Linked DNA regions of Arabidopsis thaliana. The protein of the gene in region 4 interacts with the protein of the main gene of each other region in a pairwise test. Each region holds a gene or a part of one and is shown on either strand. Other genes may lie near its edges.

The links.
Region 1: the proteins of BIM1 (region 4) and ASA1 interact in binary tests that used the Arabidopsis thaliana proteins (3 or more experiments, as listed by UniProt).
Region 2: the proteins of BIM1 (region 4) and CRF12 interact in binary tests that used the Arabidopsis thaliana proteins (3 or more experiments, as listed by UniProt).
Region 3: the proteins of BIM1 (region 4) and AT3G23060 interact in binary tests that used the Arabidopsis thaliana proteins (3 or more experiments, as listed by UniProt).

Annotation. Positions count from the first base shown.
Region 1 is NC_003076.8:1,717,638-1,725,598, forward strand, and holds ASA1 (anthranilate synthase alpha subunit 1), read right to left. Parts: upstream 5,274-7,961; 5' UTR 5,175-5,273; coding exon 4,985-5,174; intron 4,776-4,984; coding exon 4,591-4,775; intron 4,499-4,590; coding exon 4,303-4,498; intron 3,791-4,302; coding exon 3,639-3,790; intron 3,520-3,638; coding exon 3,404-3,519; intron 3,310-3,403; coding exon 2,919-3,309; intron 2,841-2,918; coding exon 2,607-2,840; intron 2,530-2,606; coding exon of another isoform or gene 2,514-2,529; coding exon 2,103-2,513; 3' UTR 1,938-2,102; downstream 1-1,937. Other genes in the region: AT5G05720 (RNA-binding (RRM/RBD/RNP motifs) family protein), read left to right, coding at 82-363, 536-601, 730-925, 1,110-1,192, 1,397-1,616, 1,723-1,904; AT5G05735 (uncharacterized protein), read left to right, coding at 2,329-2,529; EGY2 (ethylene-dependent gravitropism-deficient and yellow-green-like 2), read right to left, coding at 6,386-6,640, 6,772-6,932, 7,028-7,235, 7,330-7,483, 7,583-7,676, 7,761-7,866. UniProt on the Arabidopsis thaliana protein: Part of a heterotetrameric complex that catalyzes the two-step biosynthesis of anthranilate, an intermediate in the biosynthesis of L-tryptophan.
Region 2 is NC_003070.9:8,944,109-8,950,627, forward strand, and holds CRF12 (AP2 domain-containing transcription factor family protein), read right to left. Parts: upstream 2,521-6,519; 5' UTR 2,492-2,520; intron 2,215-2,491; 5' UTR 1,936-2,214; intron 1,838-1,935; 5' UTR 1,657-1,837; coding exon 793-1,656; 3' UTR 501-792; downstream 1-500. Other genes in the region: AT1G25460 (NAD(P)-binding Rossmann-fold superfamily protein), read left to right, coding at 1-136; AT1G25480 (aluminum activated malate transporter family protein), read left to right, coding at 4,359-4,698, 4,883-5,020, 5,122-5,391, 5,491-5,627, 5,721-5,867, 6,154-6,519.
Region 3 is NC_003074.8:8,196,252-8,203,835, reverse strand, and holds AT3G23060 (RING/U-box superfamily protein), read right to left. Parts: upstream 3,201-7,584; 5' UTR 2,969-3,200; coding exon 2,863-2,968; intron 2,473-2,862; coding exon 2,373-2,472; intron 2,295-2,372; coding exon 1,880-2,294; intron 1,796-1,879; coding exon 1,293-1,795; intron 1,229-1,292; coding exon of another isoform or gene 1,206-1,228; coding exon 1,155-1,205; intron 1,067-1,154; coding exon 994-1,066; intron 915-993; coding exon 720-914; 3' UTR 501-719; downstream 1-500. Other genes in the region: CFM3A (CRM family member 3A), read right to left, coding at 1-288; IAA7 (indole-3-acetic acid 7), read right to left, coding at 7,120-7,160, 7,252-7,313.
Region 4 is NC_003076.8:2,604,053-2,613,049, forward strand, and holds BIM1 (basic helix-loop-helix (bHLH) DNA-binding superfamily protein), read right to left. Parts: upstream 6,199-8,997; 5' UTR 6,043-6,198; exon of another isoform or gene 5,863-6,042; 5' UTR 5,520-5,862; coding exon 5,483-5,519; intron 5,352-5,482; coding exon 5,250-5,351; intron 4,834-5,249; coding exon 4,432-4,833; intron 4,331-4,431; coding exon 4,228-4,330; intron 4,144-4,227; coding exon 4,007-4,143; intron 3,922-4,006; coding exon 3,807-3,921; intron 3,710-3,806; coding exon 3,640-3,709; intron 3,543-3,639; coding exon 3,447-3,542; intron 3,336-3,446; coding exon 2,998-3,335; intron 2,897-2,997; coding exon 2,785-2,896; intron 2,693-2,784; coding exon 2,603-2,692; 3' UTR 1,966-2,602; downstream 1-1,965. UniProt on the Arabidopsis thaliana protein: Positive brassinosteroid-signaling protein. Transcription factor that bind specifically to the DNA sequence 5'-CANNTG-3'(E box). Can bind individually to the promoter as a homodimer or synergistically as a heterodimer with BZR2/BES1.

The DNA.
Region 1 (7,961 bases), 890 kb from region 4:
TCCTCAGCTTCAAGAATTTCTTGAGCTTAATAATAAGTTGAAAACCTGGTCCAATGATATGTGTCCATCGGCAACGATCAGGTCTCGCCCGATGGTGCTGATGAGCCTAACAAAGCGAAAATATCATTATTAGATTCTAAAAAGACTAGAAAGATTAAAGTTGTTGCTCTCGTTGGTGATGATGTTTCTGATATGGAATACTACAAGAGTCGGACAAAGAAAAATCTGTCGGATTCGGACAGTGATTGTGAAACTTATGGTTGTGAAGATGCAATTCATGTTTTTCCTATTGATGGGGATATTGAAGCTGACAGAGTTGACAAAGAGTTTACAATTCATGTTTTCGGATTCGGACATCAGGATGTTTAATTTGGATGGTGTTGCAGGGCAATGGAGAAATTAGATAAATTACCTTTCCAGGGGCGGACGTTGAATATTTCACCAGCTAAGCCCCGTGATTATGGAGACCAAAGAAGCACTTGACTTTTAACGAATAGGTGATTATTCTCTAACCTGTTCTTACTTGACTTTTCAGGTTGTTTTCCTTGAACCGATTGAGGCACGTGAAGCTCTGAAGGGAATGGGCGTACAAGCGTTACAAGTAAGCTTTTGTTTCTCTATGTATAAAGTCTAAAATCCTCATTCTTTCTTCCCCTAAAGTGCTTCTTGGAGATAAATGGTTGTCCTAGTCTAACCAAACTGCTTCATCACATTTCCTTATTATTACAGAGATGCTCCCCTGTATCTGGGGCTCCTAGAGATATTCTTGAGCCAAAAGCACTTGCCGATAACAATGAAAATACGAGTGATGTTGAAGAAAATGATGTGAGAAGAAGACTCAACTTGGATCAGCAGGTTGGAATCGATTCGGATATAACTGAGGTATGCCCACTTTATGATTGCTGTGGACGTTTTGAAACCATGTGTTCGTCCTTTTGTGTGGTATTGAAGTATCTGAACTAATTTATGTTCGGGTTTAGTATTACAGTGTAAGTTTCACGTTAGGTACTGAATAATTTATGTTGACTGGCTTCAAGTTTTCTGATCAATCTTGTAACATTTCCTTTAAATAATGCATTATATTTCAGTCAAATGTCCTTTATGTTAAGATTCTGAACTTCAAGACACTGATGAGAGTTTGAAGAAGCATTTGACTGAACTGGTGAAGCAGGGAAAGATTCTGAGTTTTAAGGTAAGTTTTGCTGACAGATGATGATATGCAGTTAACCATCATGTCTGTTTTTTATATGGTTTTGTAGAATTTGACTCCGAAGAGACAGCGACCAGTGTCTACAGAGATCTACAGGTATATTATCCTAGTTAAGTCTCTTTAATTTGAAACTTGAAGTTGATTGGACTCGATGAAGTAGGGTGACAATTTTTTGTTTGCTCCTAGGGAACTGTTGTGGATGGGCATGCTTTGATCTTGAGCTTCTCTAAAAACAAGCCGAGTGGAACGGTTGGGAAAGATTTAGACAAGGACACAATTTTGACAAAGTTACATGTGAAAAATATAGCTTTTGAAGCAACTATGAAAGAAGTAAGACAGCTTTTCACTCCATTTGGACAGATCAAGAGCGTTGGGCTTCCAGAGAGGACTAAGGGAAGATATGCTGGTTATGGTTTTATTGAATTTGAGACAAAGCAAGAAGCTTTAAACGCTAAAAAGGCATTATCCAACACCCATTTCTATGGACTTATCTTGTGTACTCATCTCTCTAGCCTGTTCATCTTTGACATCCTTGAATGCATCCTCAACTCGCTATTTGCCGTCTTTGCAGGTGATCGAGTGGAAAAAGGTTGACAATAGCATGAAGGCGATCCGATATCGTTCTGCTGCCAAGTATGTGGATCAAGAAAACAATAATCCAAAGAAAAGGAAAAGCTCGACAGTTGTTGGTTAAAGAAGAATCAAGTTTGGGAGAATAGCTGAATATTATTGACCATGGTTTCTATTGTAACATTTTTCAGAGCTTCATTAATGGAGTCTAATTGCAATTCTCACAAAATCAAGAAAAAGAAAAAACTTTGTTCTGCTTGTAACTGTTTTATACACATGAACTCGGAGTTCAAAGAAAGCCAGCCTCTGTTCTTGGGCACAATCATTTTTTCACAAATGCAGATTCAGCCAAGTCGATGGCTCGAGCAAGACCAGCGGCTTTGTTCTGGCACTCACAGTGTTCGTCTTGCGGGTCACTATCAGCTACTACACCAGCTCCAGCTTGAAGATAAGCCACCCACTCACGCCGTTTGTTAGCATCCTTGTAAGAGTACATTGTATTGTATTGACATGCTGTCGGAAAAACGATTGTCCTAAGGGATAAAGCAATGTCCATGTCACCAGTGAAGGAGACTCCACCAAAACCGCCACTGTATGGTCCACGCCTCGTTGGCTCTAGCTCATCGATTAGTTCCATAGCTTTGACCTTTGGTGCACCACTAACTGTTCCCACTGGTAAAGCCGCACGTAGTACGTCCCAGCAAGTCAAACCATCTTGTAATTCTCCTGTCACCTACACACAGAATTAGAACTTAAGATATTAAGGAACACACTATGCGAGACTTTAGATATTTGATCTACTACTAGTTATCTAATTAACAATTACCGTGGAGCTTATATGCATAACATGGGAATAACGTTCGATGTTCATAAGCTTCTCTACTTTCACTGATCCGTATTTCGTAACCTTTCCAACATCGTTGCGACCGAGATCAACCAACATGATGTGCTCAGCACATTGCTTTTCATTCTCTAGCAGTTCCTTTTCTAATCTCTTATCCTCAACTTCATTCTTCCCTCTCTTGCTGGTTCCTGCCAATGGCCGATTCACTATCTTGTTCTGCTTCAAATATGATATAAAGGTTAGCTTCAAAAATGATATAAAGATTAATGCAGCTTTGAGAAAAGAGAGATTTACCTGCTTTACTTTGGTGAGAATTTCTGGACTTGATGCTACCAAAATGCATCCTCTAGCCTGAATAACAGAACGAAAACAGCATTGATGGTTTATCCACAAGTACAAAATGCAAAGTTGTTGAGAAATGTTCTCTCCATCACCAACCTGCAAATAACCCATATACGGACTTGGATTCACAACTCTTAGTGCTCTATAAACTTCAAAGGGGTCTGCAAATGTTCGCCGCTCAAAACGTTGACTCAGCACGATCTGAAATATGTCTCCTGCAAGTATATGTTCTTTGGCCTTGACCACAGCCTCCTTGTACTCTTCGCATGTCACGTTTGAATTATCCAAAGATGGCCCAAATTGTCGTGTCTGAAGATTCACGTTACCTGCAGCCAGTTTTGGCCTGCATAGATTCACAGCGGAAGAAAAATGAACAACTTTTAAGAATAGTAGCCAAACGGAGCTGAAAAACTTAATCAATTCAAAGAGATACTCACGGCTCAATATCATGTAACTTGGCCACCAAGTTCTCCAAATGTTGCATTCCATTACTGTATGCCTTTTCGTAAGGAAGGCTCCCATCTAGTCTAATCCAGTGAATGACATATGCTTTCTGTAAAATTTTACAAGGAATCTCTAGTCACCACTTCAAGAACAAGATAACGCATAAAAAGGAAACTAAGATGCATGTCTCAGTTAATCATAAAACATGGATGGTGACAAAATGATTACCTTTTCCACGTGATCAAATACAACTACATCGTCGTACAGACCAAGATGCATGTCTGGCAAGTTCCTATCATCCTCAGGGGCCTTTGAAAATGGCAATTTCCTCTTCTCAACATAACGAACAGTGTCGTACGAGAAAAAACCAACCCACCCACCTATCATAATAAAGAAATCTTACTAAGAGATACCACTTCATGAACAAGATAAAGCACAAAAAGTAAACTAAAACACTAAGGGCAATCAATCTTCTATCTAAAAGCGCGAGAAAAGATATTCAAGAACGTAAAGGCGAATTGGGCACAAAAGGTAGAGGGAAAACTAGATCACAACAGGGACAGAATGACCAGCATAAGAAAGTTCTCTACTTTATCAATTGCTCTTGCCTCTTGGGAAATCAGACGTACATGTTTACAACTAGGAATCCCATGACCCCATATGATATGGTATGTAGTGAACACGGGTTACGTGCATTAATTGCTAAATGGTTTTGAGATAGAAATCCATGAAACTTGACATTTAAAAAGATCACTCAAAAGCAAGAGCTTGTCTCGAAGACATCCATACCATTATCACATATCCCCAGTCCTTAAAACTAGTGGCTTCATTCCTTTTAAGTTAACTATTCTAGAAAGTGACTCATTATAAACAATAAAGAAGAATCTCTTACCACAAAACGCATCTGGAAGGTCCTGAACTAGTTGAGGATCAGGGTTCCATTTCTCAGAGATTTTTCTTGGGATCTCCATTGGATCTTCGACGAATTCCTCAGTCATGGTTTCATTGTTGTGATCCATTACAATAACTTTATTCTCCTTTGCCACGATCTCCATCGCAGGCTGAGCCCCAACAACGCTATAACGACCCTATCGAGACCAATCACATCAAAGAAACAATTAGGAACTGAGACATATTAACAGATAAAAAGGATATGTACAAAGAAAGATTATATACTTACAACGCTAGACATCTGAGAACCAGGCTCAACGGACTCGAAAAGAAAGCTAGGAGCTTCACGGTCATCTTCTTTGACCAAACAACGGTAAGCAAGAACAGGAGTAAGCTGATCAGAGAATATACAGCGGTAAATTGGTATAAGGTTTGTACTCTTAGAAGCATCTGCCAACTTCTTTGTATCACTTACTGCAGAGAACAAGTCCAAAAACATGTATCAGAACTGTTTTCACGCTTAAGAAGATTCACATTCACAATCAAACCAATCAAATTAGTCAGAGAATAGAAATTATAAGCTTGACATAAATGTCGTTCAACCATTTTCCCGCATTTTATCGGTAAAAAATCAAACAATCAAAAACCCAAATTAAAAGAAAAAACGAAGAGCATTGCTTCACCTATTGAAGCTTCCGGAGAAACAGAGACGCATTTAATCGAACGGAAAGAAGGCGCGTAAGCCGAGCTTCTACCGGAGTATCCAGTAACGGTCACAGAAGAAGAAGAGAGATAACGAGAAGCAACAGAAGGGAGAAGCCGGCGAGAGAAAGTCAGTGCTTGCATCGTCGCTACGTTCATAGAGGAAGACATTGTAACGGCTAAGAACTCGGTGGCGGCCGGAATGTTTGAAGATCGGAGAAGAAGATTCAGAGGTGACGGCTAAATGAGTAAATTTGATTAGTGATTATTCTACGAGATGTGGCATATTTATAAAGAAGATGACCATGTGACTTATTTAGCAATTTACTTTAATACCCCTTACCTGTATTTTCCAATTTCCCTCATTTTTTCACTATAAGTCATGTGCATGAACCATGAAGGCAGCGAACCCTTTTCGGAAAAACTAAGCAAACTTGTCATTCACAAAGATATTGCATCAGTTTCATAAGCAAACGATACGAACGGTCGTCTTTCTCAAAAGTCAAAAACCCTTATCTTCTTACTTTAGTGTTCGAAAAGTCTTTCTTTATTAATGCCATTACAAGACAATCCTCAAGTATGCGTTTTTCATTTTTTTCCAACAAAAATAAAAACATAGAAAAGTTGGTAACATGCCTGATAGCGGAATGTTAACAATACTACTTCTTTTACCAGATTAGTATTTAATTTCTTCAGTCAATTATATAATAGTACGAATGTAGAAACTTTGACATTTTCTTGAATAAACAACGATCATAGTAGGACTATGTAAATTGGAAGGTTGCTTTAGCCTTTAGTTGCTACCAACCAAAATCAAATCCATCCACATTAAAAGCATGTGCTTTTCTTCTTATCTTTTACCTTCCAATTTCATAATATTATTCTTTCCTTCTATTATACTAATATTAATCCTTCCTAGTCATTTCTTTATGTTATTAAAGTTTTGAATTGTTTTTCTTGAATAGAGAATTTAACGTCGTTATAGCATCAAATTTGTCACATACTCTCGCATGTCTATAATGTAGTTTAAATTTCTATTAATTCGTCTGATATATATATATATATATACAAAGTTGTTAACAATATGATTATCACTACCCCATAAACAAAGTTGGTCTTTTCTGTTTTTCCAACCAGTGAAAGTCTCTTTTTCAAAACCTAGATTGACAATCCCACACGTAATTAATAACTGATTAGCAAAATATTAGTTCACATTTCTGTGAGAAATTTGGTTTGTTTCCTAAACTGCTCCATGAGAGTAAAAATATAGAGCAAGAACAAAAACATAACTTTAGATGTCAAAGTAGAGCATAGAGACCAAAACAAAAAGTTACAACTATATCTCTGATTTCTTATTGTGCGGTGTAATGATATGAGTCACTTCACAAGCCAATCATCATGGCTTCATTGCCCGTGAAAGCAAATGGGTAAGGCAAACACACAAGCAAGGAGAGAAACAAAACCAGGATTCCAAGAGACACATACTTATCATCAGGCACCGTGATTTCTTCAGCCAGCGGCGCAATCGGTCCACGCTGCAGGAAGAATATCAGAACCACCCAGTAGAATGCCACGTCGCTGAACAACGCCGATAAGCCCAAAAGCGCTATGGATGCACCCGTGAGCCGTGTTGCGGTCTGAAATCATTAGGAGACATATATAATTCTGATTACTACCTAATCAATCTACTATGGGGAATGGACTCGAACACAAAGACGAATAGTATAAGACATTGTTAAGCTTTTTAAGTCATTCTAATTAGTGTTACCTTTCTTCCCCAAATGGAGAAAGCTATTTTGCCCCCATCGAGCTCCCCCGCAGGGATACTGTTAATGCCATTGATGAGAAGTCCAGCCCATGCCCAGATCACAAGTGGGTTAAGAGATATTGAAGTTCCTTCTTTGAGTGCATCACCTAGTAGGAGCTTTGCTATAAGAGAAAAAGAAACAAAATTTAAACATTGATCAACTCTCCAGCTTCAGCCTGCAACACTTTATCATATTTGATTGAGAGCTAAAGCTTACCAATACCACCAGCAAGGAAGGACTCGTGAAACACTGATGCATCAACTACAACGCCAATGCCGTCACTGGGAGGCACGAATAACCCTATAAGAAACAGAATCAAGCCTAGAGAAAAGCCAGCCAAAGGTCCTGCAGCTGCAACCTTCAAAAGATCTTCTCGCTTGGCTACGATATTTTTGATTCTCGTTATAGCACCGAAAGAGCCTATCTGCCATCTAAAACATGTTCATTAAATGTCTAAAAAAACCAAATTTCAGCTGAAAGTTTTTCCTTTTCTTTCAAATAGAACATCGCATCTTCACCTGCCAACTTGGAACAAAGAATGGAACACCAAGCTTTATTCCTAAGCTATTTGCAACTAAAATGTGTCCCAGTTCATGTACTCCAAGGACAAGAGCGGTGACAAGAGCTCCTGGTAAGCCATCTTTTAACAGTTCAAGGTTGTCAAAGGCCGATCTGCAATTAAATTCATATATGGGAGGGAAATTTTTTATTCAGTTAGATGTTTTGGAAGCATAACATATTCTAGAGAAAACATGTTCAAGATGTTCTTACAGTAAGTCGGATTGCAAGGCAGGCACATTACGGAGAAACAATGTAAACAATGCCACCAATCCAAAAGAACCAGCAGCAAACCATTCAGGAACAGCTGCAAATTATATGTAGTATCCAGCTAAAACTTAATAATCTGAGAGAGATATCCTTATTAACATGGAAGTGTATAGCAATATACCTGTTGTCTCGGGTTCTAAGGACCTTCTTGGAACAACAACGGCCACAGGTTTATCATCCTCAGGATTCGTGAGAAGGAAAAGCTTGTACTGGTCACCAAAATTATTCTGCAGATTGATGAGCAATACACTATTACTCTTTGTCACAACATGTGCTTGTCAACGATCATAGTTAAGAAAGGAAACCCAAAAAGCAGAATTGT
Region 2 (6,519 bases), on a different chromosome or scaffold from region 4:
CAGTGAAGAAGGGAAAGATATGCCTCATAGCTTAGACACAACAAAAATACATGAACTTGGCTTTGCCTCCTTCAAGTCATTAACAGAGATGTTTGATGACTGTATCAAGTGTTTTCAAGACAAGGGTTTGCTCTGAAACACAAACTAATCAAGCTTATATTTAAACATCAACGAGATCTCTTAATCTAAAAGGATTCCACACTATGTAAAGTGCCCATCAATCTTGGACTTAATAATTACACCATCTCGCTCACGTCTTGTAGAGTTTCTTTGGACTGATCGTATCACGTGCTTAACACACACAAATGTCCGTACCAAGAAAGGTACAGGAACACGTGTCAACTCTCTTTAGTACTCTTTACTTTTAAGGTAGTGGAGAATGCCACTTGAGAGAGTCGTCTACATTTCATTTTTGGTCGTTCACAAGTCACAATCACCATTAGCCACCTTCAAAAACATAAATGTGATCCAACTGTTATGTACTATTAATATCAACCCATGACTTATTAAATTCTCGGTTTAGATTTTCTGTCCTGATTAGACAAACATTAAAAGAGAAAGGTACAACACCAAGAGACAAAAGAGATACGAAGAACAATGCATAAGGAAATAGATTAAAACATAAAGATGAAAGAAAGTAAAACCAACATTTATGAAAAAATGTTGTGCAAATCACTCCTTTGGACTGTTCTAAAAGCACATGAAAAATCCATAGAGATCAGACCGCAAGGATCATACTTTCTAGCTTTCTTCATCATGTTCCTGTGAAACAGAAACCGAAGCTAACAACTCTTAAACCAAACCGAGAGGCGGTGTTGTCAGATGATCTGTATAGGCAAATTTGAAATCATCAAGCTGGAATTCCATTTCAGTGAAATCACAGTCAGGTAGCTCACTTGGAAGACTGTTTTCAAACCTGCTGAAGTTGATATCATTTTCGAGCAATGAGTAATCATCCAGCAGAATGTTAGAGTCAGTAAGGAAACAATCAAAGTCTAGCTCTGCACCATTTGCATTAGAAACCATAGAATCCTCTTCTGCTGCTAAGAATCTCAGATCAGGTATTTTCACATCCGAAAAGTCGAAAGTAGTGAACACTTCTTTGGTGGTTGAATCACCAGACGCAGCAACATCTTTGTTCAGAGACGTCTTTTCTTTAGACAAATCATCAGCACTTACACAAGAAACAGAAGCAGAAGTAGGGGAACGCAAGCACTGGCTAGTCACTGTTACAACCGATGAGGAAACAGCAGAACCTGAAGAAGCCAGTGCATCATACTCAACCTTCTTGTCAACATAAGCCTTCTCAGCTTCTGCAGGAGTTTCATAAGTACCCAACCATTTCTTAGTTTTAGTGAATGGGTTCAAAATCTCAGCAGCAAATTTGCCTGATGGCCTCGGCCTAACTCCCACAGGATACTTAAACTGCCTAGTAGATTTCCTTCTAGGGGTTTTGACAGCATTGCTACGATCCTGAGAACTCTCGGAGACCTGAGGGAGGAAAGTAATCTCATGAACAAAACGCTTTACCTTTCGAGGTTTAGGTAACCATTCATCGCTAGAGGAAGAGGAATCATCAGTAGCATCAGGATCAGTGAAAACAATACGAACTGTTCTCAACAAAGAGTCTCTCTCAGGTTTCACAAAGGACTTCATATCTTCTCAAACACACCAAGAACACACCAAAAAAACCCCACTCAAAAATCTCTGATCAAAAACTGCTAAATCGGATGAGGTTTTTTTCAGGAAAAAGATTTCTCTGTTTCAGCGAACTATGAAAAAGGGTATTTTTTGCTTTTCGTGAAAACCCCCAAATACTTCAACACCAGAACAAGTCCTGCACAAAATCACAATCCAGAACCAATACTTAAAACCTTTAGATTCTCCTTCACCAACAAAAGAAAAAGATAAAGAAGAAGAGAGAAAAGGCCAAACCTTTTAAGTCTTAAGCCCATGGAAATGGAAGGAACCTCAAGAATAAGCCTCTGTTCGGAGCAGAAGCGAAGAGCGTTAAGAACAGCCGTCAGACTCAGACCAAAGAACAAGACAGACGAGGAAGAAGAAGAAGACGATTGAATTGCAAAGGAGATTAGAAACAGAGACGAAATCGCAGCCGATTCAGACACAGCCGACATAAATCCGCGTTACAAACGCCGTTGTTGTTCCGATTGCTTCTCAAATACCCAAAAATCCCGACTTTTAACTGTTCCTGTTCTTCAAAAGAGATAAAAACCCACAAGAGATAAGTGAGACACACACACACAGCTACAACCTAAAACCCTTAGAAGAAAGAAGTGTAAAAAAGGGTTCTTGAATTAAACTCCGATTCAAACAAAACGCAAATCTTTAGAAAGAGAAGAACATAAATTACAGTCGCAGGCTCACAGTAAGCAAATATAAGAGAGACGGGTTACTATTCAAGTAATGATTTCGTGGAGAAATGCAGAGAGTTTGTGATGAGAAAAAAAGAAAGAAGAAATCTTTCACCTACCTTGTGCTCTTTTTCTGAAAATTCTATCTGTTTCTCTCACAGGATAAAGCTTTAACCTTTATATGCTGTTAGTATTATTCACTTACCTTGATTTTCTCACTTGTTACGTTAGACCCGATTTTTACTACTATTTTACTGCTGGTCTAAAGGAACCATTCCTTTTTTTTTGCATGAACCATTCAAAGGAAAAAGTAACAAATCTTGGAATATCTAATCTAATTTTCGATGATATTATCTTGACTAATTGTTTTCCAAATTGTTTTAAACTGCTCAAAACATAGTATTTTTAGTTTACTTATAAATTTACATATTGACGTAAATGTGGTTAGGAAATGTTATTGTTGTGGTATTTTTCTTTTTTCTTTTGTGTTTGTTTAGCCAATTCAAATATGTAGCATTCGTGAAAATACTGATATAAAAATATTTAAATACTCATTTATATGTGTTAAAGCGTTTACAAAATTATCATCAATGGCCGGCCATGAATCATAACTAGCCAATATAGAATTAGGTTTTTGGTTTGAAATGTAAATTTACAAAAGAAAATCTGTCATAAAAGTTCATCTCGTACTTTATCATAAGAAAGTATTCACATTTGTTGGTCTTTTTTATAAGGTTTAGTAAATTTTTGGGTTTCTAGAATTTGTTTTTTAGTATGAATGTTTTCTAGAGATTTTTAGTTTATAAGAAAAGAAAAGAACAAAGCAAAAGCAGAGAGCAAAGCCTAGTTAAAGACTCTTATTAGCATCTCTCCGGGATATAGACTAGAACTAGATTTTCTTTTCCTTCCAGTTAAGTTGTTTTGCGTTCTGAAATCTAAAATTTGATCATTCTTTCTGTGGTATACGTACACATATACATGTTACTAAGAAAATTATCAGTATGTTATCTTTTCTTTAATTTTATCTATGTGGTCTCTTGAACTTTAGTACAAAATGGTCTCTATATTAGGAGACGTATATGATAAGGGACATACATATTAATGGCGCATGACCAAACCATACTTTAATATCATGCATCTATCATGTCCCACTAATCGCCTAAGCTATCCATTTGGGAGCGTGTGATTCAATCTTTCTCATAAGAAGAACAATTTTACTGGTATTTTATGCAAGTGTAGTCCTCCACACATAAGATGCTTCTGTTGTATGAAGGCAAAGAGCGGATGCAATAACTTTTTCAAAATTCGGTAAAAACCTGAACTGTGAATCTGTGATTGCAATTTTTTTACAATGGTGTTGTTGTTCAAATGGTGACAGCAAAACATGAATTAATAGACTGAAACGATTTTTTTTCATCTTACCACAAAACAATTATACACTATTATACATCACATAATAAATGTTATAATTATAAAAAAAACATGAGTGATACTATTTTTTAAACTCTACTCTTCAATTGATAGTTATTTTTGCTTGATTTTTTTTTAGCAAAACAATGATTTAATAAAATAAAAAAATTGTGATATGCCTAATATTGGTAAGAAAGAAAAAATATCGTACTTTTCAATGTCCTTAAAAATACAAATTTTTATGATTTGACTACTTCCAAATTTCTTTAAATGAGTTCAAATTCAAATATTTAAAATTTCGTAAGAAACAATATACATATAGAACAAGAAACATCTTTTATGGACGGCCAAATCATGTTGTTTTTTGCTCTACAAATGAAAATCATATACTATTACTAATTAAATTATATGTTGTCTTATAGCTTCGGAATCTTTCTAAACATGATTCACCCCTTTTCATTACAGGACCCCACTATAATTAAGGTTTCTTCTAAAGTGGGATCCATCTGATCGAACCATCTCATCTCACTCTCAGTTTATGAAATCGTGATCTTTTGGAAGAAGAAATCAACGCAAATGGCTGACCAAACTAGAGAAGCCTTTCTCTCTCGAAAAGCTTGCTCAGATTTCGGATTCAATGATTCAAACATCATCGATGACCGTCGTTCCAAGTTCCGGTGTTTCCGATTTTGCTCCGACGGGATCACTGCTTCCTGGAAAGCTTTATACGACATCGGTGCTAAATTATACGAGATGGGTCGTTCCGATCGTCGGAAAGTTTACTTCTCCGTTAAGATGGGGATGGCTCTCGCACTCTGTTCTTTCGTCATCTACCTTAAAGAACCACTCCGTGACGCTAGCAAGTATGCTGTTTGGGCGATCCTTACTGTTGTCGTCGTCTTTGAGTATAGTATAGGTACTGTGACTCACGAATTCTATAGATTCAGATCGATTCTGGGGTTGTTGTTGTTCGATCAAATCTTCCGGATTTTGATTAAAAATCAAAACTTTCGTCTTCTTCGATCTAAATTCTCATTAGATCTGTCTTAGGATTACTTGTCTTCAGAGATCTAATTTGGCTCTAACTCTGTTTTTTGAAGGAGCAACATTGGTCAAAGGATTTAATAGAGCTATAGGAACACTCTCTGCTGGAGGACTTGCTCTTGGCATAGCTAGACTCTCTGTTTCAGCTGGAGAATTTGAAGAACTCATTATCATTATCAGTATTTTCATTGCAGGTTGCACTATTTCTCTCAATTTTTATTAGAAATGAACCTTTTTTAAATAAACATACTAACTTTATTTTTGATACTTGTGAATCTGTTGGTTTGTCTATCAGGTTTTTCTGCAAGTTATTTGAAACTATACCCGGCGATGAAGTCGTATGAATATGCATTCAGGGTGTTTTTGTTGACATACTGTATTGTTCTTGTGTCTGGAAACAACTCTAGAGATTTTTTTAGCACTGCTTATTATAGGTTTTTGCTTATCCTGGTTGGTGCTGGTATCTGTTTGGGTGTGAACATATTTATACTTCCCATTTGGGCTGGAGAAGACCTCCATAAACTAGTTGTTAAGAATTTCAAAAGTGTGGCCAATTCACTTGAAGGTAGAGAGATACGTCAAATGGCTGTTTTCTCTTGTTTCGTTTCGGGTTTTGGCTGTTTTTTTATGTCTTGTTTTGTTTGTGCTTTCCTAAAACTTTCAGGATGTGTTAATGGGTACTTGCAATGTGTTGAATACGAGAGGATTCCTTCGAAGATTCTCACTTACCAAGCTTCGGATGATCCATTATACAGTGGATACAGGTCTGTAGTCCAATCTACGAGCCAAGAAGATTCTCTGGTGTGTTTTCCTTAGGACACTTTTGTTGAGCAGCAACTAGATAACTTGAAAAGGATTTAGATGATAAGATACGATGACCTCTTTTTTCCTCAGCTTGATTTTGCAGTATGGGAGCCTCCACATGGACCATATAAGACTTTCCACCATCCATGGGCAAACTACGTCAAACTTAGTGGCGCAGTAAGGCACTGCGCTTTCATGGTCATGGCAATGCATGGCTGCATTCTTTCGGAAATTCAGGTAACTTACCATATTCTTGTTAAATACAACTTTATCTATCATAGCAAATGAGGTGCTATAATGGTTATTAGAGACTATACCAACCTGCTTCAAATGCTACTAGTACCTCTTCGTGATTAACTAGACTGTTACTCTGAGAAGTCGGATATTTGTCATATAATTGTTGAGTAGGTGCAAAGTGGGATCTCCTAGTTTACTGTTGTTACTAGTGAATGGTTTTCTTTGAGTTCAATGCTTGTCGTATGCCCTATAAGACTTGTGATATCAATTGGTGTGGGATTTGCAGGCAGCTCCAGAAAAAAGGCAGGCTTTTCGTCAAGAACTTCAAAGAGTTGGAAACGAAGGAGCCAAAGTCTTGAGGTTGTTTGGAGAAAAGGTGGAGAAAATGGAGAAGCTAAGCCCAGGGAACGTTCTCAAGGATGTTCAAAGAGCAGCAGAGGAACTACAGATGAAAATAGACAGTAACTCCTTCCTACTTGTCAACTCAGAAAGCTGGGCTGCTATGAAAGAGAAAGCCGAAGCTGAAGAAGCGCAACAAAACTATCACGAAGCCAAAGACGACGAGTCTAAAGTGATTCAATCCCTCAGCCAGATATGGGACAATAACAACAACCCTCATCATCAGAATCAACACGCTGGTAATGATTCTCAG
Region 3 (7,584 bases), on a different chromosome or scaffold from region 4:
CCCTTCTTTTCGATAATTCACAACTACCTTTGGAGGTTTAGGTTGATTACGTTTCTGAATTCTATTCCAATTCTCTAGCCACACACCATTATTACAATCCCTACTAAAGCTAAACCTCCTCGATGCAATTTGATCATTTCTCGAACTAAAGGTAACACCTTTACAAGACCCAAGTGAAATTGATGAACTATACCTTAAGAAACGGAAGCAGAAGGAGCTTTGAAACGAGTAGACAAACTTCTTCGTGACAGTAGTTGGGCAAAAATGGAGACTGGGCTTCATCGCCATTGTTGGTTTATTCACATAGAAATGTTTCTGTAATCCAATCCATATAAAAATTGAAACTTTCAATAAAAATTTCACCTTTAGTTCGTCACTAAGCTCCTGGCTCTGTGTTTATCCATGGCGGGCAAAAAAGAAGACTGTTTGGATACAGATCTTTCGTTAACCCTACCTTAAACCAAACAGAGCACAAAACCGGCGCATCTTATCAAATATAACTCAAGCTAGCTAAAATGAGCTTCTATTTAATTAGTACAAAACGATACCGTTTGAGTCCTCAAAAAGCAAGCAAATCAAATAAATAAAGAGTTTTCCATATTTAGGTCTCAGCAATTATTAAATAAAGAAAGATGCTAAAACTAGAAGTCTTTCAAAAGAAACTTATTCTGCAAGAAATGAGTTTAGAAGAAGAGTAAAGTTTGAAGTTCTGAGAAGAATTATTCAGAGGCAGAGCCAGAGTCAGAGGCGTCAGATTTGAAGCTGTAATAGAGATCCATGATGAATTCAGCAGCGGAGCTTCCGACCATCGCGCTTTGTCGCTCAGGCAATGGAGTTGTTTGGACCCACCAATCCACCAAGTTATGTAGTGTCAGTGACGAACACACTGGCTCATCCCTTAACCATATCTCCACCTGCAAAAGAACATCAAAAAATATTAGAGTTAAAAGACAAGAGAGAGTGAGACATAGATAGAGAGAAGAGTTAGTTTACTTGGTCTTCGCTTTCGAGACCGAGCTTCACCATTAGATACTTCTTGAGATATGAGACAGTCATGTTGCTATCTCTGTGAACATAAAAACAAATCAAAGAATCAATATCACACATTCTACAACAACAACAGAGATTATAGTTGAAATTTAATTAGTACTTACTTTACTCTTATGCAGCAAGCGGTGATCGGTGGAAGTAGCATTTCAATGTTCCTGAAAACCGAAGAAACCGAGTCCTTCAAATATAAACAGAATCATAAGTTAAAGACATGAAAAAAGAAGATAGAAAAAAAGTTTTACTGAGTCTTGGAAGGCTTTAGTGAAAACCAAACTGGATTGTTGTTACGTCCTTCTTCAACTTTCATCTCCTCTTCCACGGAAACCGGAGCTTCTGGTGTAGTAGTACCAGCTGCTGGATTAACCGTCCTCCTGCCTATTCGGGGTCTCAAAGAATAGCTCTTTTCCACCGGTTTCTTACCTTTCTTCTTCCTTGATCTGGAGGTAGCAGCACCATTGGTCTTCAGTTTCTGACCAGAGTTGTCCTCTCTATCCCTATCAGAGCTAATAAGGAGACTGTTTTGATTCACTTGAACAGGAACTTCCTTTGTTTCTCTATTCACAACACACTTGTTCTGAATAGGTTCAACAGATTCCTCTGTGTCGTCATCCGAACTTATCTCAGGCTCAACGATATCAGGAGGAGTATCGTTGATGTTTAGAGTGACAGAGAGAGAGAAAATAGGTTTACAAAGATCTTTCTCCTTTGGTACGACTTCCTGAAAAGTTGATCCTTCAGCTTCGTCCTAAGATGCATAAACACATTAGTTGCAAACAGATAGTTAACAAAGGAGAACAATAGTTATACAAAGACTCATATACATACTTACCAATCCATTGTCTTCAGGTTCGTTGTTCAGGTCAAATAGATTCTTAATTTTAGGCTCCTTAGGAGGCAGTTCGGGTTCTGGTTTCGAATCAATCTTCTTCGGGAGTGAAGCTTTTCTCCCACGTTTCTGGAACGTGATTATCGGTTTTCTAGTGCTTTGAAGAGCTAGAACGGTCTCCCTATGTTTCTCCTCCACAACCACATTAGGTGGTTCCACAACCACATTGGCTGGTTCCAATGGAGTATCAGGTGAGGATGATACTCTAGATGAAGAGACCCGCAGTGAAGTTCGAGATTTTCTCTTCTTTTTCGAAGATTTCACAGACGCTGCAACAGTTTTAGGTCCTGCCTTCTTTAAGCTTTCCATCATTGCTCGGTAGATTTTCAGCTTCAAATCCTGCCAAGTGCAATCCGACCTGCACTTATATAGATACCTCAAATCACATAAAAGCATAAAGATAGATGCAAATGCTAAGAATCAAACAAGTTCATACCGAAGTTTCTCTAGAGGAAAAACACCGAGGTTAACGTTGCAGACTGGACAAGCGTTCACTCTCTCATTTATGAACTTGTTACGAATGCAGCTCCTGCAAACTGTTACCACAAATTCCACAAGTCCCAATTCATATAAAGACACAAGATATACCAATACTTAAAGCCAGGACTAGAAACATAACAAGCTAAAGAAACAGCAACTTTGAAATCACAAAGACATAAACAGACACTGAATCATCCACTTACAAAAAAAAACAGTCCTTATCTGCTTACCTTAATATTTACACAGATACATGTTGAAACACACACAACAACACCAAAAAGCTAAACAAAACATCGGTTTCAACTTCCAAGTTTCAGAATCAATCTGATATAATCTCTAGTCTACACTAATTAATATAACCAATAAACAGAGAGATAGTCACAAACAAAAAATCAGAATCTAAATCACAAAGATAAAGGAAAAAACAATCGAAGGGTTACACTTACAGGTGTGGAGACACTCGGAGATTGTGGTGGCATCCTTAAACGGATTAGTGCAGATTGGACAAGCAAGGCATGGCTTAACCTCCTTACTAAGCACCTTTGTTAACATCTTTCTCTCCGATTCCCAAACTCAACAAATCGATAAGATTTATTGATTATATAGCTTCTTCGTTCACGTAACACAACATGGTGCATGAACGAAGAAGAAGACAAACCCACAAAAAAAAGTGTCTAGCTTTATTGTTGGTTTTCTCAGAGAGAATCGATTGTTGAAAAGATTGGATTTTGGTCTCTCAAGTTTCGCTCTCTCTGTCTCTCTCAGAGAAAAAAAAAATCTGTGTAAGAAGAGGTTTTGATTTTGGAAGAGTTTGCTTTTAAGTATTTTTAGAGAGGGTTGGTTTTAAAACTATGAATAATTAGAGAGGGTCAAAGTGACAGAAAGCTAAACTTCGGTGGCTCACAAAGAAAATATATTATAGTTTTTATGCCAATGATTACATGAGTGATGCATTAGGTTTAATTTATATTTAACAATTTATTGCAAAGTTTTTCAAATATAGAGTTACAAATTTGTTCATAAAAGGTCTACATTGTATATATATTTTTATATTTATTTTTCAGGCTCTTTAGTTTTCTTTTTGTTAACTTATAATCATTATGTTTTGGCCGTTACTAATTTATAAGGAAATTACATTTTTTCTTACGTAAGCAATTACGTATTTAACAAATAAAAATTTAGATTTTTTAACTATTTAAGTAGTATAGAATTAAATGAGTATTTCTTACTTAACATCTCTAAAGATTTTTGTAAATTTCTATGTAGGTTTTGTTCAATATCGGGAAAAATATCTACGTGTCAAAAACTTTCAATCTTACTAAAACATTTACAACATTTTCTTACGTCACCAATTACGTATTTAACAAATGAAAATTTAGATTTTTTACTATTTAAAATTTAATTAAATGCTTATCCTTTGACTTAAAATCTTTAAATATTTTGTAAATTTCTATGTACGTTTTGTTCAATTTCGAGAAAAATATCTACATGTAGTTTACGTGTTCAAAATTTTTAAATTCTTCTATAAAATTTACATCTTTTTGACGTCAGCAATTACGTATTTAACAAATGAAATTTTAGATTTCTTACTATGTAAGTAAAATTAAATTAAATGCGTATTTCTGACTTAAAATCTCTAAATACACTGTAAATTTCTTTCTATGTTTGTTCAATTTCAAGAAAAATATCCGCATGTAATATACTTGTCAAAATTCCAAATCTTTCTAAACAATTTCATGTATATACATTGAATTTCATATTGGACCATACCAAATTTCTGTATTATGCGAGATATACTGTTTAATTTATATTTTTCCTAAACTGATGCTACATGTGTAAAAATGATCTCATATATTATTTGACGAGTTAGAGAGAATATTTATAAATATTTCCTACATGTCTTTACAAGAATACAGTTTTAGGAATTGGTTTTTGTTTTTACGTAAAAATAATGTTTAAGCTACTTTTATTAGTGTTTTGAAATGTGTAGTACAAGAACAATGTCTCTTGGAAAATATTTCTGAATCTCCTTAATGAATTTTATGATAAGATTTTATAGAATTTACATTAGTCCTGTATAAATTCACATTAAATGTATTATAGACAAAACATTGGTATATAAAGAATACTACGTGAAAATATTTGTGAATCCTTTTTGTGAAGTGTTTGATATATGAGGAGATATTTCATGTCTAAAATCTAATTTATCATAAAACAAAAATAGTGCAATGTAGATTTTCAAAAAAAAGAAAAACATTTTCACCTATCTTTTGTTCTTATTTTGTGTGTCAACATATTCCCTTCGCTTTATTTTCTTAAGTGTAAATAAAAGGGCCTTCCTGGAAAGTAAACTATAATAAACGAACCTCTAAAAGATGTAAACTAGGCCTTGCATATTATGGCCTCATGAGGCTTTTGGGTTTGTACTAGTTTGGATTTATTTGTAAAGTGTCATCATGTATCAAATTTTGAATTCCTATGGCCACTCTCTTAGACATTGCAAGAATTGAATGGTCGTACGAAATTAAGAAAACAGATATTTAAGTCAAAAAAATAAATCTTTGGAATGAAACTTCACGTACATGATAATGATTGTTAATATGCTGATTATATATATATTGAACTCAGAAACTTAAAGTCTAGTACAAAAACAGAAACAGAAATAAAAGAGTCCAAACTCCCATATATAGCAGTTCAAATATCATAATAACATAAACATTTCGAATTTGTGGTTTTAATTTAGTAAACAATTGGACATGCTACTATAATTTCTTAAACTGCTTTTTCAAAACTAAACACGTATTATCTCCAGAGTCCAGATCATTTGAATATTTATTGTTTGTGTAATCTGGGTCTTTTCTGTTTGATATATTATTTGCATTTAGCATTGTTTTGGAAATCAAATCATTAAGATAGTATAGTTGTTAATTAAATTTATTAGTTTTGACCTAGAATTTGCAAACGCATGCATGCATGTCCCTAGTAGCGCTTAATCATTTTTTCATCACTTGGCTAATTTTATGAAATTAAGTTCTATCGTTGCACCGGATCCAAGAAAAAAGTTTGGGTATTACAATCATCAAAACTCATGAAAGTTTGTATTTAGTGATCCCAAAACACTCATTATTTCATTTATAAATATAGCTATATAGAATTAAAAATAGATTTGCATTGTCGAGCTTGGTCACTACCAAAAAACCGTACCCTTAAACTCTACATTACTCGACTTCATTTGTAATAATTAATATGTCTGAATTTTCAATGGACCTGGCCTATACTTAATTATATTTGGCTCTATAAGCTTATAATTCAAATCAAAAGTTATTCTTACTTTACATAAGAATAATTAAATTGTTAACTATATTGTTGGTGTATAATTACTTAATTAGGACCCATGAGGTTGCAATTTGTTTTAAGTTTTTTTTTTGGTTCAAAGTCATTATCATATTGCACGTTTGACCTTGGTTTTTGGTTATATATTTCTATAAAACGATCGGGAATACTATAATTATTCGAGTATAGATTAACTAGAATATGACACAAACATTGAGACAAATTATAAAATAGGATGAAATTTTCCTCTCGTGATCGGGAAAATTGGGTACAAATTACAATAACATAATGGCCATATGAATTAAAAGACCCATGAACATGCACATGCTCTTGTTCCCTACCCCTCTCATGGGTCCTGAATTTGATAAATTCCTCCCACAAAATTAGAGCGCAAAAGAGGTCAAATTATACTATTTGGAGGCATCAACGACTTACATAATTTATATGAGATTATTAATCTATAATATGAATACAATATATATATCTAATGATCCATCATCCATCCACCAGTAAGAACCATCAATAACTCGCAAGTCGTAACAAATTGTAAGTGAGTAACAAACATCCGAATATTAAAACTTTTATATCCTCTTTTGTAACTGTATCTTACTCACTTTTTTTTTAATAATGAAAACAAATTATATTGATTTCAACATATTTTTGAAATGATGACTAAATTAATCTTGTAAAGCCGCTACACATATAATCATCAGTTAGTTTAAAATATGACAGATTACGGACCACATGTCCCAAAAAATTAGGATACACAATTTATGATGAAATGACAACAAACCAACTTTAAATTCTACTTCTTATTTTTTTTGTGGGTTGTAGGATATGTTCAATTGTTCATTAAAGACTTCATCTAAAAGTCAATACATAATCAGAGTTTTTAAAACTAAAAAACGCTAGTAATGGTTAGAGAGTAGAATTAAAAAGCTAAGATTTTATTGGTAAAATAGTAAACATAACAACGAATTATTCATTTTGGGAAAAAACTATTAGATAACACACACAAGAAACGACAAGTAGCAGAGTAGGGATCAAAACACATGTACATGTACACACACCTACATACACACATTTATATGTATGCACATATCAAGTTGTGATTGATCATCAAACCGACAGACACATGTTGGGCAATAAATATGACACAAACACAGAGATATTGAAGTTTCCTCTCTTTTGGTCACATTACAAGTTTGTCCACATCTTACTGGTAAAATACTGCCCTATATACCCATCAAGTATTTAAAATTACAACACACATATATAGGTGATAGCCACATACAATCATAAAAATACATATAAAATCAAGAACCCGTCATATTGTTGATCATTGATGCTTCTTTTTTTTTATTATTAATTCAAGATCTGTTCTTGCAGTACTTCTCCATTGCTCTCGGAGCTATAACCAAGAAAACAGAATTATATTAAAATAAAAAGAAAATTGGTAAAAATTGAAAAACAAAAAAAAAAAAAAAAAGTTAGAGATGTACCAAGTCCAACTGCTTCAGATCCCTTCATAATGCGCAAACGTTTGCAAGACTCGACAAACATTCTGAAATAGGTATTCAAGTTTACGGTTAGAACATTAGAATATGAGTCGTTAACATTTAAAGTTTATTCTAAGGTTTTTGGCAATAATATGATGATGTGCCAGCTACGAATGAGCTCTAAACATATCGATACTATTGTATAATTTTTGAAAGATCCTCTTGTCTCTTGCCAACCAATGCATGGTTGTACGTATTTATAACACATGGATGTTGAATATCTTTGGCTTTGTCTCTACCAATTTCGGGAAATGTGGTTAACGAGTCAAGTTATAA
Region 4 (8,997 bases):
TTTGGGTCGATATTGTATTTTTTTTAAGTTTCAAATTTTATAATATTGAAATTTATAAGAAAATGACAAAATTATGTTTAATTTCACGGGACTGGGTTATATGGTAGGACGGGTTTGGGTGGATAATAATTACGATTTTAGAATGTCCCATATCGCTTAAAAAAATTGGACAATGGTCAAGAGCCATACTATAAAAAGGACCAAAATGATTTCGATTACGAATGAGCATGAAACTTGATTTATGAGGTGTCCAAAATTAAAATGGTTTGTTTACTAGGGTTATTTATTTTAAAAAATTGAAACTTTAAAAAGTTTAAAAAATTATAAATTAAATATTACAAGAAATTTAAACAATATAAAAAATATTAATACGGGACGATATACTGCGAGAGAAATCTTAGATATAACACTCAAAATTCAATGATGAAGTTTGGGTCAATATTAATCTTTTTTGAAGTTTCTAATTTTATAAATATTTGAAATTTATAATAAAATGACAAATTTGTGTTTAATTTCACGGGACGAGGTTATATGGTGTGACGGGTTTGAGTGGATAATAACATGGGATAGTATGCTATGGAAAAAAACATATAATAACAATCATAATATAATTATATAATCTTAAACACTAAACAAAATTAACAATATTAAAAAAAAAAAACTTAAAACTTTAATTTTTTTAAAACACATTTTGATTCTTTTATAAGAAATTTAAACATTATAAATATTTAAACTTTATACTACGGGTGAAATTTTATAATTGACTGTTTGGGTTGATAAGAATTTACAATAGAACTAGGAGTTAAATCCTAGAATGACAATCAAAATATAATTATACAATTAAATACTACCACGAGTGAAATCCTATAATTGACGAGTTTGAATCGATATTAATATGGGATGGTGTACTACGGGTGATATTTTAGAATTGATTGGTTTGGGTTGATAATAATTTACGATAGAATTAGGAGTGAAATCTGATAATGACAATTAAAATATAATTATACAATTAAATACTACCACGGGTGAAATCCTAGAATTGACGGGTTTGATTCGATATTAATATGGGATGGTGTACTACGGGTGATATTTTAGAATTGACTGGTTTGGGTTGATAATAATTTGCGATAGAATTAGGAGTGAAATCCTACGATGACAATTAAAATATAATTATACAATTAAATACTACCACGGGTGAAATCCTAGAATTGACGGGTTTGATTCGATATTAATATGGGATGGTGTACTACGGGTGAAATCTGAGAAACAACAATCAATATACAATTATACAATATTAAACATTTAACAAAATAAACAAATATAATTTAAAACTTTAAAATTTGAGTTATAAAATTTCGTCTCGCGGTGAATTATACATTTAAATCAAACAATAACATAAATTTATTAAATCATCCTAAAAATTATTCAATTATTTTTTATTTAATAAAAATATAGGTCCGCGGTATACTGCAGATTAATATCTAGTATAATAAACAACATTCCAAACTAAAAAAATACTACAATCACGACCAAAGTTTGCTCTAATTCCAGTCAAAGTTTCAAACCCTAACTGTAAAAGCTCTAGTTCGAGAAAGATCATAATTGATAAAGACAACGACGGCGACGAAACTCCACGGTAAAAGATGCTACCACCGCGTCTCTGAAGAAGAAACTCCTGAGTTTTGGAGGCGACGACGAGGAGGGAGAAGACGAAGCTTCCCGTGTCAAATCCTCTTCGTGTCCGAGGAAATACAGGCGGTTTGTTGTTTATGGATATAAATTATGGTTAAAAGAACGTAATTGATGTTTGTTGTTTTATCCCATTATATATGGGATCTCGTTTACTTCAATAGTTTGGAAAATCAAGTATTGAAGTTGAATATATAGAAGATATGATTTTCATCATTTTAAATAAAAGTAATTAAATGCTAGTTGATATATTTTTCAATGGCATATCTTATAATACCCCACATAACATTTGATTATTTTGCTAACAACATTGCATAAATAATAGTACAAGATAGCTCTTGTTGCTAAAGTACACTTGATTTAATCTTTTTGCCGTGCTCCAGACTTTGTCCTAGAGAGTTGGGTCATACAGGCTTTTGATTGGCATTATAATTAAGTGTGTTTCTCTTTTTCTTTTTCAAAATCGTTCATGCGCTTTGGTTTAGTCAAATACATAAAAGATATCTAGTATTACATTGAAAACCATAGAACAAAGTAAGAGGAAGAAACAAATATAAAAAGTGTGAGATGATCAAGTATATAAGAGAGTGAAAAATGTTTTCACTTAACACTGGACGCTTCCAGAAAACTTTGAAAGCCTTCCTTAACGATATATTCCTCAAAAGAGTATGTTCTAAAATGCGGTTAGCATAACCGGGTCGCCCTAGTCTTCTTAGGTCTCATACGATTATGGACCCACGAGATATATATAACAGGATTTCGGATGTACAAAAGAAAAAAATCAAAGATATAACTATAATAATAAATTATAATCCCTTTTTGAGATAAAATGATTTAAAGAAAAAAACAGAGGAATCAATTTTGGTGTTTAACTTTTACCGGATTGTGTGTTTGGGTTTTGTTTTTATAACTTCTACTGTCCCGTCTTGAGCCGTTTTGGTTTCCGAGTTTGCTTGACATTGTCGTTTCTGGTTCGAGAAACCGGTTCACGAACTTCATGATCCTATCGAGATGTGAACAAAACTATAAACTATCAAGATCCAACTCATGAAAATGTGTTTGAATTGAATCAAACGTAAGTAAAGAAAAAGATACCTTGAAGGAAGAAGACGAGGATTGTTTAGCGAGCTCGATTTCAACGGAGATGCTTGCTTTCGTTAAGTCCACTCCTGAATTCTCCAATGCTTCTCTCAGTGTTTTCACTAATCTGCTCCACACACAAAAGTAAATGTATAAAAGGTTAATAATTTTTTACTTTTACTTAACTGTTGCAAGATCAAAATTCAAAAGAGAGTTTTTTAGTTTTACCCTTGTGAGTAAACACTTGAAATTCTGATGTTACCCTCAAGAACTTCCTCATCTTCTTCTTCTTTTTGACTCCGGGAACTCGGACTTGGCTCTACAGCCTCTGATGATGCGACTCTTGCGTGGAACTGGGGTACGGGATTACCCGCAATCACAGGAGAGAAAAAACTGTTGCTTTGAATCGACAATGGAAATGGAGAGGTCGTCGCGGTTGTTGGATGATCAATAACAACACCTTGTGCAGTTGCAAGGACCGAAACCGGAATGTTGTTTTTCTCTTCTTCCAATTTTGGAGCAAAAGCAACTCCTTCAGGTACTAGCTGTTGGTTGTTGTTACTCTGCTATAATGTAAATGGATCACACGGGTTAACATTACATGGTTTGTTTGTTTTCAGTTTCCAACCCGGGGAATAAAAATGAAGTATGGTCGGAAAATGTGAGATTATATTTACCCAATTCAATAGCTTCGCAGGTTCGTGATTCCATCCTTGGTAAGAGGTCACATACTTGTCTGCTTTCTCTTGTAAGAATTGAATATACTCGATAACCTGTATGAAGTTGTCAAAAAAAAAAATTGGAGATTAGGAGCAGATGTGATTGAATCTTACTGTCACAAAATTTTCGGCCAAAAGAGTATAGTTATACCTCTAGTAAGAAGGAGGCCTTATCCCGCTTTTGGTCGCTGTTAGGTATTAGTTGTCTCAACATCTGAAATCTGCAGAGGGATCCATTAACAATGTTTGATTAGTATCTCCACTCTGCTAAGCTATATAACCAATTCTGGTGGCTTTTGCTACATATTCAGGACTTACCTATCATTGATCTTGCTCCTTCTCCGTTGCTCTGTAGCAGAATGTTTAGACCTAGGTGTGTTCAGCTTTTGATCGTTAGGAGAGCCTCTCACATCTGCTTTTACCCTCAAATCCACTGTAAAGAAGCAATCAATCAGATCCTAAGCTGTTACTGTTTAGACTTTAGATATCATATAGGTGGAATCTCGGACAATACAAACCTCTATGGCTCTGGCTAGTCGAGGAGCTTTCTTTCTTCATGATAAAATCTTCTTCATCATCTAAATCATCTTCCTGTGAACTTCCTTTTGCTGACCTTATCATGTCCATGAAGCTCTGGCTCTTAAGCACAGACCCTCTGCAACCAAAGTAAAACTTTAGTTGATCACTCTTTAAAGTCCATAGACCGAGTTATATAAAAAAGAGAAGATATGAGACTAACTGAGAGGAAGAGAGAGAACTGAAACCGCTCATATGGTTGTTTGTCAAAGACTGGGACCGTCTCTCCGCCACTGGCCATTGTCCCACAGTTGCTGCAACATCAGCTACACATTCAAAAAAACTTATATTTCATCATTCCATTGATTTCTAAATACTACTTTAAAACTAGTCTAAATAAACATCACGATTCAAGTTTTCTTGTTACCTCTCATGTTTACTCTCTCCCCAACACTATTCTCCTTCCTTGTCTGTCCCTTCTTCCCAGAAGCAGATTCATCCCACAGAGTGAACCCGCTTGATGCAGCGGCGTACGAGCTGCAATTAGAGTTAGAATTCTCATCCAAAACGTTTCTCTCATTAGCATTGAACATCATTGGTGGTGACAACTCCGGCTTAGGAATTCTCTGATGATGATGATGGAAGTAAGGAATGGGGCTAATCGTATAAGTCCCTATACCACCGGGAAGCACGTGCTGCAACGGTGGAGGTGGAGCAGGGGGCGGTGGCTTCTCGGACGCTGTAGTGGTAGAGTTAATCCTACTTACGTCTTCTTTAGCACCAACACATTCTAACGGTTGAAGAAAATCATGGGTTTTCAAGTGACTACCTGCTTCACGTACCATCAAAATTAAAAACATAAACTATATGTTAGAGAAGTAAATCCCTAGATAATACACATTTTCTTATACATCAAGTTGTATGCATTTAAACGCTTATAGTAATTAACAACATTTTGTTATTTATGTGATGCAATTCTAGGGATCAACATCATGAGGGTTGAAAGATATTTATTTAATCGAAGGCAAGGTTTAACGACATGTGTAGACGAAAAAGAAAGAAAAAAACGGTCCCAAAATTCCATGGGCTTTAAACACAGATGGGCCCATTAGGACCCAACAAAATAGCAACATTTTGATCCATGATTCGTCTTAAAGTCAGATCAGATGCACGCGCGAAAAAAACGTGACCCCTTTTAAGAGAATCTTAAAGAAGAAAAAAGGGTAAAATGGTAAAAAAAAATACCTTGAGAAGAAGGTGGTGGTGTTGGCTTTGGATCTGGGTGGACGGTTGAATGACTGCAGAGCGATAAAAAATCATGTGTTGGTTTTCTCCCTGTGCGAAATTCTTCTTAATATATATATCAAAATTCAAAAAAATACATAAATTTAAAATTATGAATCTTGTAGAAACTAAACACTCTGTTTTAAAATAAAATAAAGGAATTGGTAACAATAATATCTGATAATGGTGTTTACCTTGGGTTTTGAAGGGACGAGGTTGAGGAAGCTCCATGAACGACAGAGCTTCGACGGTTTTTGAATTCTTTTTAAATTATTCTATTACTAATCTGTGCGCGGGAATTATCGCAAAAATTGGCTAGCAGCTCAGATCTGCGACTTGTAGCAGCTGATTCAAGAGATATTGTGGTTTTCGATGGTTGAAGAAGCGGAATTGAGCTCTGAAGTTGCTGAATTATGCTTTCTCTGTATCTTTTTACCGATAAAAATCCTCGAATTTGGTCAAATTCTGCTCGATTTAACCTAAATCAGCCTCCGCCGCAACTTTTCTCAGCGAATTCCACAGAATTCAAACGGGAGAATCGGCAGAAGTCACCAAATTCGTGGAATCGATAGATCTGTCATCAGAATTGGGTAGAAATTCAAGAGAATAACCATAATTCAGCGGAATTCATAGCTCAAACCAACTCAATTTCGCATAATTCAAGTCAACCAATGAACATGGAGATACAAAAACTAGAATCCAAGTCAAATCTCTAAAGAACACGAATGGATTAGATTTGAGCTAAGAAGCGTACCTTCTTCGACAGCAAATTACGTGAAGCTTTTGGCGTGTCAAGGTACTGTTGAAATTACGCCGACTACTATCATGCGTCGAAGTAAATGCAATCAAAAGGAAATCAGTTAACTAATTAAAATGGTAAGATATGTATGATTAATTAAGAATCTCATGTATCTGATATTCAAGTCATCGTACATTCTTCTATAGCCTAATACCACCAAACCTAAATGAACAGTGCGAAAAGGAAAAATAAAATAAAGAAGATTTTGTGTCTCCGTTTAGAAAATCATGCTTATAAAAACCTCCATGTAAATAATGTAATCAGACCACTGTATTACGTGGTCTATGTTCGTGTGTACTGAATGCGCATAACTAGACGACTTGTTTAATTGGTAAATTGGAAGGTAATTGGTAAGTTTGACAAAGATACGTACTACTAATTGATAGCTAGGCTTGGCTGCAAACAATTACCAATTTAATAGTAAATTTAGTAGTAGAAATTCTGCTATAGATGATGGAATATAGGGGGACAAGTATGATTTTGTTCGTACGTGTATGCGTCTATGTATTTGTGTGAGTGGAGATATATGTAATGTATGTGACATTAGGTGGAACAAAGACAGCTCTTCCGCCTTTAACAAATTGTCTAAAACCCATAGTTAAGAACCTGATCATGTGAGCTAAGCGCATTTTTATATTTAGTTGAATGCCACTTGTTACAAAATCACTAACTTATAAGTAAACCAAATAGACGACTTACAAATTACAGTACTTATTTTAAAAGTCTTGTTAGCATTTACTAAACTAACATATGTCTAGTACTGTATATAATTTGAATTATATATTCGAAAAAAGTCATCTCTTAAAACCAAAAATAAAATGATAAAATATCTTTAGTCCATTTGTATTCAAGCGAAAATAGTTATGGCTTTCAAGTTTTTGCAAGTACGTATATACTTGATTAAATTACTTAAGATTTTCAGTAGTTAAGAATTAAATTTACTTACGAGTAATATTTATTGCCCTCCCCTAATGCTTACAATCTAGTTAGTTTCTGAGTACTACATCTTTCCAGTAGTCATGAGTTTAATCTGAAGATAGAAATAATAAATTGAAAACAGAGATGGAGATGATAGTGAGAAAGGAACTATAGCTAAATAGTGTTGGATCACATGAAGTGAAAAATTGTACAAAATAGGGAAAGAGCAAAAACAATTACACATCCCCACATGCCTTCCACTTTGTCTCGTGAGTTGTTAGGTTGTGCTTAAACACGCTTTATTCTCTGTATTTTATATTAACCCCATGAATTGTATTATATTGATTTAAAATCACTCGCAATCTCGTGGTTCTTTGATGAAATGTATTATTGTTATTCGAGATTCGGTTTCTCTAGAGCACAAGTAATTGGTTAGATACATTAAAATCAAAAACAAAAAAGCAAATGGAATTGTTAAGATTTTTACACGTTTAGATGAGAAGAAAGAAAGAAATCAAGGAAAGTAAATAAAAACGAAATGGTCAATTCAAGTGAAAGGCGAATAAGAGGTTAGTGTGACGTCGTTTTCATGATGTAGTGGGACCACGTGAACTGACTCTGCAACTCACGTGAGAGAAACACTGTAGAAACATAAATAGATTTTCGAAAACATTAACATCAAGGGCAATTTAGTAACAATACTTCTTGACTAGAAACTTGGAAGGCTAAGGGTTTTAGTCGATCGAAGAAAGAAGGTTTCCATTCAGTCTCATAAACTGTTTATTGATATGCCACAAACCGACCTATCCTTAACCATTCGTGGTTCGGTTGGGCACATCATGTTCTTCCCGTCTTACGTAATTCAATCAATAAATAATCATTCAACTTGAGTTAGTTAACAAAATAAGAAGAAGCATATCAAGTAGGTTTCAACTTCAAAAGATTAAGATCAAAATAACTTATATAATACAAAACATATTTTCTTTAATTTCCTACGCATATTATAAAACATATCCATGGAATTAATTAGAATAATGTATAGGAGAAAATCATTCGCGGAGTCACAAGATTTCTTAAACATATTTTTACATATTTAATCCAATTTGAAGTAAATCAATGCGAGATCTCATCACAACTACTCACCAGGTTCATGCACACGCTAACAACTGTTTTAATATCAAGATTTGATAATATTTTAAGGGTGAACAATATTAAACATCTCTTTGCATATAAGTATATAACTATATATCAATGACATTTTTTTTTTTTTGGTTTTAATGTTAGATATCAATGCTCTCTACGTTGATTTCTTACAGAATTACAGTTTATCAAACATTCTCTTTTCAGAAGTTTAATTAAAAAAATATAAACCCTTAATTTATTTATTTTGTTGTTAAAGTGTTTTTAAATAAAACATTAATTACAGAAACTTTATGCATACACAAAAGAGTGTGTGGGAGAGCATCTCATCTGAATTAGCTGTCTTCTTTACTTCTTTTTTCCTTATAAAGAGGACTATTAGTTGTCTCTAATCATTGTTATTTTCTTAATAGTATAGTAACAGATTAAATAATCATAAAGCAATTAGAAAAGAAGAATAAGAAGCTGGACTTGAAGAAAAACAAATGTATTTGTAATGCGGACATTCCTCTGTACATTTGCACAGGAATCCTCTTAGGGATCAGTTAACAAATAGTTTATCTATCTAGATATCATGTGACTTAGGGTTAAAACACGAGATTAAACAACTAATTATGATACATTGAAATTAAATATGAAGTTTTTAACCAAGGAGAAGGCTACGTACGAGACTTTGGATCTAAGAGGACACGTGGCAGTTGCGCCGCGTAAATCGCGCCGTATCACGTGATAACGAAACCTTTTGGGGTATTTTTGGCTGCCTACCTCACAGCCTCCCCCATCCATCACGTGGCCAACTCACACCTCTCGATTATTGCGGGTCCCACGTTTCTTTTTTACGCTATCCCGTTT